Linked DNA regions of Arabidopsis thaliana. The protein of the gene in region 1 interacts with the protein of each later gene in a pairwise test. Each region holds a gene or a part of one and is shown in the gene's direction. Other genes may lie near its edges.

The links.
Region 2: the proteins of RARE1 (region 1) and RIP1 interact in a two-hybrid assay, tested with the Arabidopsis thaliana proteins (one study listed by BioGRID).

Annotation. Positions count from the first base shown.
Region 1 is NC_003076.8:4,246,350-4,251,063, reverse strand, and holds RARE1 (Pentatricopeptide repeat (PPR) superfamily protein), read left to right. Parts: upstream 1-1,756; 5' UTR 1,757-1,851; coding exon 1,852-4,110; downstream 4,111-4,714. Other genes in the region: AK-LYS1 (aspartate kinase 1), read right to left, coding at 50-199, 524-678, 833-873, 974-1,056, 1,147-1,548; AT5G13260 (myosin), read right to left, coding at 4,387-4,463, 4,544-4,670.
Region 2 is NC_003074.8:5,048,225-5,053,036, forward strand, and holds RIP1 (cobalt ion binding protein), read left to right. Parts: upstream 1-1,970; 5' UTR 1,971-2,096; coding exon 2,097-2,485; intron 2,486-2,656; coding exon 2,657-2,754; intron 2,755-2,838; coding exon 2,839-2,904; intron 2,905-3,262; coding exon 3,263-3,897; 3' UTR 3,898-4,231; downstream 4,232-4,812. Other genes in the region: DJ1A (Class I glutamine amidotransferase-like superfamily protein), read left to right, coding at 1-35, 130-315, 407-487, 654-854, 970-1,110, 1,200-1,397; AT3G15010 (RNA-binding (RRM/RBD/RNP motifs) family protein), read left to right, coding at 4,620-4,812. UniProt on the Arabidopsis thaliana protein: Involved in organellar RNA editing. Required for the processing of numerous RNA editing sites in mitochondria and plastids. Binds to the plastid RARE1 factor, a pentatricopeptide repeat-containing protein involved in RNA editing.

The DNA of each region.
Region 1 (4,714 bases):
CATGAATGAAAATCTTAATTATCTGTAGATTGTAAACTGTTTGAAATACCTTCCCAAGGAAACCTGTTACAATAGGAACAGCAGGATCATGCATCCAATCATCATATAATCTCTTGGCAACAGCTGGATAAGTTGCCTCCAGGATATCCCCATTTGTGAAATCATCCGTTGTAATGAAACCAATTTCAAATGCATCATACTGCAAAGTAATGGTCGATAAATCTACTTAGCTATGTTTGCGAGCCGGATCATTGTGCAATAAAGCTCACACCAAGGCCAGTTTAGCATGTAACAGAGAAAGTACACCAATATGTGTTCCTTGATAACCGAAACCAAACTAATAAAAAAGTTAAATGACCAATTCAGAGTATATAGAATTTGTTTATCATATTTTCTAAATCTAGATTGAACTTTTCTACCCTAATCTACCAAGATATCAATTTGACTAAATAAGCAACCAAATGTGATATATAATATAATTAAGAAAATTACAGTAGAACTAAAAATATGATGATGGACATACTTGGCGTGCCTTGACACCGATTGTATTAAGATAAGCAGCAAAAATCCTTGTAGACAAACACTCTCCAAAAGAGACTAAGTAATCTCTGGTTCGAAGTGTCAATTCCTTCATCATGGCAATGCCTTTCAGGAGTTGCTCCAGTTCCTCCAAATAGGCTGCAAAATGTATCCAAGATATAAATAGGCAATGCATGTACACTCTTGAATTATTACCAAACTCATCACAAATCAAAAATTTATGAGCCTTATCAGAATTAGAAAGAAATGAAGCTCCAAATGTTGGAAAGTCTACAAGTTAAAATATGCTCACTCAAAATAACAGAGGGATCAATGTTGAGCTCTTTCACCGTCCTGAAACAACAAAAAAACACATTCTTGATCAAAACCAACAGCAACAAAGGAAAAGATACTCAAAGGTACCAAATTAATCATAGTTACAAGAAACCAAAACCTGATATGCAATTCCTTTATAATGCTCAACTCCTCAATCTCAGATGCATTAGAAACACCACAACTAACCGCCTTCTCTCCCGCCTTCACTAGCAACAAAACCAATAATTCCAATCAAAAAAATTCAAAACTTTGAATAGAAAACAGAGAAAAGGGAGAGAATCTCAGCATTACAAGCAAGAGATTGTTGGTAGTTTTCCCCATAGCAGAGAGAACAATGACGGGACTTTCTTCCGGAAAAGTCAAAATCAAATCAGCAACTTCCTTCATTCTCTCAGCTGACGCCACCGAAGATCCACCAAACTTCATCACGCACGTGATACCCTTCTCATCTACCTCCGTTATCGCCTCTGTCTTCTTCTCTTCCAACACAGCTCGCACAATGTTTCTGCTGCCTGAACCTGAAACCTTTCTAATGGAGGAGCCATCTCCAATGGGTAATGATAATTTCTTCAGCGTAGGGAAATCGACACGATTTAGAGAAATCGGTAGCGTCGGCGAGTTTCGGTGGCGGGTAAGTGGCAATCTGGTGAAAGCTGCATTGCTATGACAACAACGAACCCTAGTAGCCGCCATTTGAGAGGAGGAAGAAGAAGAATATTATTGATAGGTTTTTAAAACAAGAAGAGGAGAGAAATCGTACGGCTCACTCTCATTTGATGAGAGACACCAAAGAAGGAAACTTTGAACCTTCCACTCTTCGGGTCTCTGTACTAAAACGCTGTCGTTTATTACCAACCATTGATTTTGATTTTGACCCGTTTTGGTTGTTGGCTTGTTGCAATAACTGAAGCCAGTAAAGTCTGAGTTTTTTGCTTCTCTGTCGTTTGTTCTCGAAAGGGAAAAGCTCTAAACTTTTGTAGAATTTCTCCATCAACTATGACGATTCTCACTGTACAGTCTTCGTTTAGCTCTTCTCGAGTTCCGGTTATAAAGAACGCGAATTTCGATCAAATTCCGTCGTGGGTTTCTCTGAAGTCGAGCACTTCTTCTCCGTCTGTTAAAATCTCGCATAAGCAAGGACAAGTAGAGAATCTTCATTTGGTTTCGTTGTCGAAGCATAGGAAGCTCAACGAAGCATTTGAGTTTTTGCAAGAAATGGATAAGGCTGGTGTCTCCGTTAGCTCGTATTCTTACCAATGTCTCTTTGAGGCTTGCAGAGAATTGAGGTCTTTATCTCATGGGAGACTCTTGCACGATCGCATGCGGATGGGTATCGAGAATCCTTCTGTGCTTCTTCAGAACTGTGTGCTTCAAATGTACTGTGAGTGTCGGAGCTTGGAAGATGCAGATAAGCTGTTCGATGAAATGTCTGAGTTAAATGCAGTTTCTCGTACAACGATGATATCTGCTTACGCCGAACAAGGAATTTTGGATAAAGCTGTTGGTTTGTTCTCGGGAATGCTAGCGTCAGGCGACAAGCCTCCTTCTTCCATGTATACGACACTCTTGAAATCTTTGGTAAACCCCAGGGCTTTAGACTTTGGTAGACAGATTCATGCTCATGTTATACGTGCTGGGTTATGTAGCAACACATCTATAGAGACCGGGATCGTGAACATGTACGTGAAATGTGGTTGGTTAGTGGGTGCTAAGCGAGTGTTCGATCAGATGGCAGTGAAGAAACCAGTGGCTTGTACGGGATTGATGGTAGGTTATACTCAAGCTGGAAGAGCAAGAGATGCTTTGAAACTATTTGTGGATTTGGTAACGGAAGGTGTTGAATGGGACAGTTTTGTGTTTTCAGTTGTTCTTAAAGCGTGTGCTTCTCTTGAAGAGCTTAATCTTGGCAAGCAAATTCATGCCTGTGTCGCTAAGCTTGGATTGGAATCTGAAGTCTCGGTTGGAACTCCACTTGTTGATTTTTACATCAAATGTTCCAGCTTCGAGTCTGCTTGTCGTGCATTTCAAGAAATCCGTGAGCCAAACGATGTTTCCTGGAGCGCAATCATCTCCGGATACTGTCAAATGAGTCAATTTGAGGAGGCTGTTAAAACCTTCAAGTCTTTGAGAAGCAAAAACGCATCGATTCTAAATTCATTCACATATACTAGCATATTCCAAGCATGCTCGGTACTTGCAGATTGCAACATTGGTGGCCAAGTCCATGCAGATGCTATAAAAAGAAGTCTGATTGGATCTCAGTATGGAGAAAGCGCTCTTATTACGATGTATTCAAAATGTGGATGCTTAGATGATGCAAATGAAGTCTTTGAGTCCATGGACAACCCCGATATTGTTGCATGGACTGCTTTTATATCAGGTCATGCTTACTATGGAAATGCCTCTGAAGCTTTGAGATTGTTTGAGAAAATGGTGAGTTGTGGTATGAAGCCAAACTCAGTTACATTTATTGCGGTTTTAACCGCGTGCAGCCATGCAGGCCTAGTTGAACAGGGAAAGCATTGCTTGGACACGATGCTTCGAAAATATAATGTGGCTCCGACTATTGATCATTATGATTGTATGATCGACATTTATGCCCGTTCGGGACTATTAGACGAAGCTCTCAAATTTATGAAGAATATGCCTTTTGAACCTGATGCAATGAGCTGGAAATGCTTTCTAAGTGGATGTTGGACTCATAAGAATCTTGAACTGGGCGAAATTGCTGGTGAGGAACTTCGCCAACTCGATCCAGAAGATACAGCTGGATATGTGCTACCGTTTAATCTGTACACCTGGGCTGGAAAATGGGAAGAAGCTGCTGAAATGATGAAACTAATGAATGAGAGGATGTTAAAGAAGGAACTGAGCTGCAGCTGGATCCAAGAAAAGGGTAAGATTCATCGGTTTATAGTGGGTGATAAACACCATCCACAAACTCAGGAGATCTATGAGAAGCTTAAGGAGTTTGATGGTTTCATGGAAGGTGATATGTTTCAGTGTAATATGACAGAGAGAAGAGAACAGCTTCTTGATCATAGTGAGAGACTTGCCATTGCATTTGGGCTGATATCGGTGCATGGCAATGCCCCTGCACCTATTAAGGTGTTCAAGAATCTTCGGGCATGCCCAGATTGTCATGAGTTTGCAAAGCATGTATCTTTGGTTACAGGACATGAAATCGTCATCCGAGATTCCAGGAGGTTTCACCATTTCAAGGAGGGAAAGTGTTCTTGCAACGATTACTGGTGACTGATGATCTTTAGTCTGTATCAGTAGATATTTTACATTAAATACTTATCCAACAAGAATGAGTCTGCAAATTGATGGTTAGGACGTGAAAACGTGGATATATTATATGTCAAAAGTAGTGCGTGTAATACAATTCTTCGGTTTACAAAACTGGAAACATTTTTCTGACTGCAAAGTACCCCAACCACACGAGAAGAAAGCATGTACGATATACAGTACTGTTAAAGCTGTGGTAGCAAGACTGTTCTGGGATCCCGAGGTCCCCAAGGTCACTACTTACTGGCTGGACCTGGAGGCTTCCCACAATCTACGTTCTATCCGCAGCTTTCTTAGCTCTGTTAGTCCTTGCTCAACTGAAAATAAGAACCAATTGTAAGAGTTGTCTTATGGATAATCCTCTTGGCTAAAAGGAATTTGGTAAGGTAAATTGTACCTTCCATGGCGTCATGTGAAGATGGAGAATGTGCGCTCCTGCTGATCCAAAATCTAAGACGTTCTCTCGCAGTGTCCACTTCTATGCCAAGGGATTGTGCTCTTCTCCAGAAGTACGTGAGCCAAGCCTGCCAAATGTTCCAAATTTCATAGCTTTGAGAATGGAGAAAGG
Region 2 (4,812 bases), on another chromosome or scaffold:
CTCTTGGTACTTGGGGTCTACTAGAAGGCAAGAAAGTAAGTCAGAAGTGATCAGTATATTTCCAAGGGCGTTTATTTATCTTTTTTTCAGGCCTTGTAATGTCTTGTTATTACATGGGGTTTCTTGCAGGCAACGGGTTACCCTGTTTTTATGGAGAAACTTGCGGCTACTTGTGCAACTGCTGTTGAGTCAAGAGTGCAAATTGATGGAAGAATAGTGACCAGTCGTGGACCAGGAACCACCATTGAATTCTCCATCACGCTTATAGAGCAGTTGTTTGGGAAAGAAAAAGCTGATGAAGTCTCCAGTATCTTGGTATGTTTTGTCTCTGCCTCTTTTATCAACCGCTGTGGTACGTGTTCATGTCACCTCCTCGTAGACTTACTTGTTATCCTTTTGAAATCAGCTGCTTCGTCCTAACCCTGGTGAGGAGTTTACTTTTACTGAGCTTAACCAAACAAACTGGTCATTTGAAGATACACCACAGGTAAATGTTCAGTTGCCTCTCCACTTGGCCCTTTTAACATTTTTCCAAGACAGGCTTTGTTTGATCCGTTATACAGATTCCTAGGAACATGCTGTGTTGTAAAGCTTTTGTCTTTCTTGATCAATAGTCTTTTATGAGTCAGAGAGATAATGTTTTCCCTTTTCAGATTCTCGTACCCATTGCAGAGGAGTCAGAGGAAATTGAAGCTATAGCGCTTGTAGATATCCTGAGGCGGGCAAAAGCAAATGTAGTGATTGCTGCAGTTGGTAACAGTTTGGAAGTTGAAGGATCTCGCAAAGCTAAGCTAGTAGCAGAAGTTCTTCTTGATGAGGTTGCAGAGAAGTCGTTTGATCTGATTGTGTTACCTGTGAGTATTGCTAACTTCCAAAATGTGAATATACTATTTAGTCTTAAATTAAATTTTAATATTCTATGATGACAAATAACCAAAAACATAATCCAACTTCTTTGATGAACTACAGGGCGGTCTTAACGGTGCTCAAAGATTCGCAAGCTGCGAGAAGCTAGTTAATATGTTAAGGAAACAGGCAGAAGCAAACAAACCATATGGAGGAATCTGCGCATCGCCTGCTTACGTCTTCGAGCCTAATGGTTTACTCAAGGTGCATAAATCAAACAGTACTAGAATTGTAGTTTCTTGTTCTATCTTTTAAGTCATTAAACTGAGATATAAGAGACATGTTTTGTATAGGGTAAGAAGGCTACTACTCACCCAGTGGTGAGCGACAAACTTTCGGACAAGAGTCACATTGAGCACAGAGTCGTGGTAGATGGAAATGTCATAACAAGCAGAGCTCCAGGGACTGCAATGGAGTTTTCACTTGCCATTGTCGAAAAGTTTTACGGGCGAGAGAAAGCTCTTCAGCTCGGAAAGGCAACACTTGTGTGATTTCAAACAATGAAAGTATGAGAGTGGCTTGAATAAAAAGAAGGCTTTGCCTTTTAGTTATCTCTCTCCATTAGTAATTACTTACTTTATGATATATGACATATGAGCTTGGCTTAGTGATTGGTGTGTAACTTTATGCCTTTATAAATGAATAAACGAGATTTTTCTATGTATGTTGCCGATATTTTCTTTAAACCTCTGCAAGAGCTAGAGGGTGTGCTGGAGAAAAAAATTATTTTATGGAGAAAGATATTTTAGTCACACATTTTCACCAAATTGACCTTACAATAACTCTAAAATACGAATTTGCCCCTATGTTTAGCTTTGGAATATTTCATATTTGTAAACCATTTAATAATATGATTATTACCAATTTAGTGAAAATAAAATCTTCAGTCTTCTCTTCTTGTATAAAAATAGCTTTTTTATCATTTGAAAACAGAGTAATGTCACTAATTTCTTGGCGAAAATGTGTTTATTTGTAACTTAAGGTAAAATAGGGGCAATTTTGTTGAATCTGATAAGATCAGGGGGTAGTACCGTAGATTTCGCTGTCCAGTTCAGTTATGAAATACCTAAAATGCCCTCGACTCATAATCTACTATTAAACCCTCATAAAACCCTTGATTTCATTTCTAGCTCATCTGTTTTCACACTCTCTCCTAGGGTTTTATCTGCGAAGCCCAATCTAGAGCTTCCATGGCGACGCATACCATTTCTCGATCCATTCTTTGCCGACCGGCGAAATCTCTTTCGTTTCTGTTCACGCGATCCTTTGCTTCATCTGCTCCTCTCGCCAAATCTCCGGCGTCTTCTCTGCTCAGCCGGTCCCGTCCTCTGGTCGCCGCTTTTTCCTCCGTTTTCCGTGGCGGCCTTGTGTCTGTCAAAGGTCTCTCGACGCAGGCTACATCGTCTTCTCTGAACGACCCGAATCCCAACTGGTCGAACAGGCCACCTAAGGAGACGATCCTGCTCGATGGTTGCGATTTCGAGCACTGGCTTGTCGTCGTGGAGCCACCTCAGGGTGAGCCTACTAGAGATGAAATCATTGATAGCTACATCAAAACCCTAGCTCAGATTGTTGGCAGGTAAATCCCCAATTCAAAACTCTCTCTCTCTCTCTCTCTCTCTGTGTATGTTCTTCTAGGGATTTTAGGTTAAATAAGTGAGAAATCCACTACTGTGTATGACGGATCTGTGTGTTTACTTAGATCATTTTTGGAGCTGTAACATGATATATCTCGTTTTGGACATTTCAGTGAAGACGAAGCTAGGATGAAGATCTACTCGGTTTCAACTAGGTGCTACTATGCTTTTGGGGCACTTGTGTCAGAAGATCTTTCTCACAAGTTAAAAGGTTAACTCTTGCCTTTGTTGGGTTTTAGTTTTCCTCATTTCTGTGTTATAATCTGCCTTCTAACTTTCTTCTGTAACTCTCCAGAGTTGTCAAATGTGCGCTGGGTTCTTCCTGACTCTTACCTGGATGTGAGGAACAAAGACTATGGAGGTAGGCTTAAGTGTATTATCTGTATCATAACCTGGGTTTGAAATTGGGGTAGTTGCTTTGCTCGTCCATTATACTTTTGCTGGGTTTGAAATTTTCAAGGGAAACTACCTGTTGCTAGTCTTCGCTCTGTGGACTCGTTACTTGCTCCATGCTTTTGTGTTAGATTGACACATGGGGCGACTTCTATTTATAGTTAATTAACATTGTGGGTGCATCTGTTAGATTTGATTTAGTGATATCTATTGTGAGACTGGTGTTGTAGAAGTCGCAGTGATGTTGCTTTGGTGAGAGTTTAAATCTTTCTGGTGATCCTATTAGAGAGTTAGTTTGATGCGTTTTTGTATATATTGACTTTCAGGGGAACCTTTCATCGATGGGAAGGCTGTTCCTTATGATCCTAAGTACCACGAGGAGTGGATAAGGAACAATGCTAGAGCAAATGAAAGGAACAGACGCAATGACCGTCCTCGCAACAATGATAGAAGCAGAAACTTTGAGAGGAGAAGAGAGAACATGGCAGGAGGCCCTCCTCCTCAACGTCCTCCCATGGGAGGCCCTCCTCCTCCTCCGCACATCGGTGGCTCTGCACCTCCTCCGCCTCATATGGGTGGCTCTGCACCTCCTCCACCTCACATGGGGCAGAACTATGGACCACCACCACCAAACAACATGGGAGGACCAAGGCATCCACCACCTTATGGAGCACCACCGCAAAACAACATGGGAGGACCGAGGCCACCTCAGAACTATGGAGGAACACCACCTCCCAACTATGGAGGAGCACCACCAGCAAACAACATGGGAGGAGCACCACCACCAAACTATGGAGGAGGACCACCACCTCAATATGGAGCAGTACCACCACCTCAATACGGAGGAGCACCCCCACAGAACAACAACTACCAGCAGCAGGGTAGTGGAATGCAGCAGCCACAGTACCAGAACAACTACCCACCTAACCGGGATGGCAGTGGCAACCCCTACCAGGGTTAAAGCAGTTGAAGCAGTCGTGGGTTTCCTTTTTAATCATGCATTCTGGGCTGTGTATAGATAATTTGAGGAAGAGAGAGTGCAGTAGCAAGACTTTAAAACTCCTTTTATCTCGAGTGTTTATCAGTCTGGGATTATGTGAGAGAGAATAGCCTAAGTTACTGTGGCATGGTTAGAACTTTTCACTCTTGCGTTTCTTTTTAGTAGTTTATATCCTAAATCGATCTCAAGTTCTTCCTTGTGATGCTTGCTACTCTTATGTCCACTCCTGGTTCTGCATTAAACGGGATTTAGTAACATGTCTCCCACAGGCTATTGTTTTGTGTCTTTCTTTGGCTTCTTCCTAGTCTTAATTTCTAATTCCCCAATCATGTTTACATGGGAATGGGATACTCATATTATAACAGGAAGAATGACAAATGTCATCAATATCATATTTCTTTCGACAAACTTGACAGAACACACAATTTGATGATGAGAGAGAGAAGCGGGTGTGAAGTAACAAGATGGGCTTTGTGTTCTTTATCCCGGCCCATCATTCTAAATTTCAGCCCAAAATGGAAAATCTCGTAACCGTATAAAGCCCTCGCTTCCCTCATATGTTTTTCCGCCGTCACATATTTTCCCCTCTTTTTTTTCGTGTCAGATTCGCTTTCTCTACGGCTGGACTAGAAGGATTAGGGATTTACCGGTGAAAGAATAACTCCAGAGATAAATCTGTAACCATGGATATGATGAAGAAGCGTAAGCTCGATGAGAACGGTAACGGACTCAATACCAACGGTGGCGGAACCATTGGTCCAACTCGATTGTCGCCGCAAGACGCGAGGAAGATTATCGAGCGATTCACCACTGATCAGCTGCTCGACTTATTGCAAGAGGCTATCGTACGCCATCCCGACGTGCTTGAATCTGTCC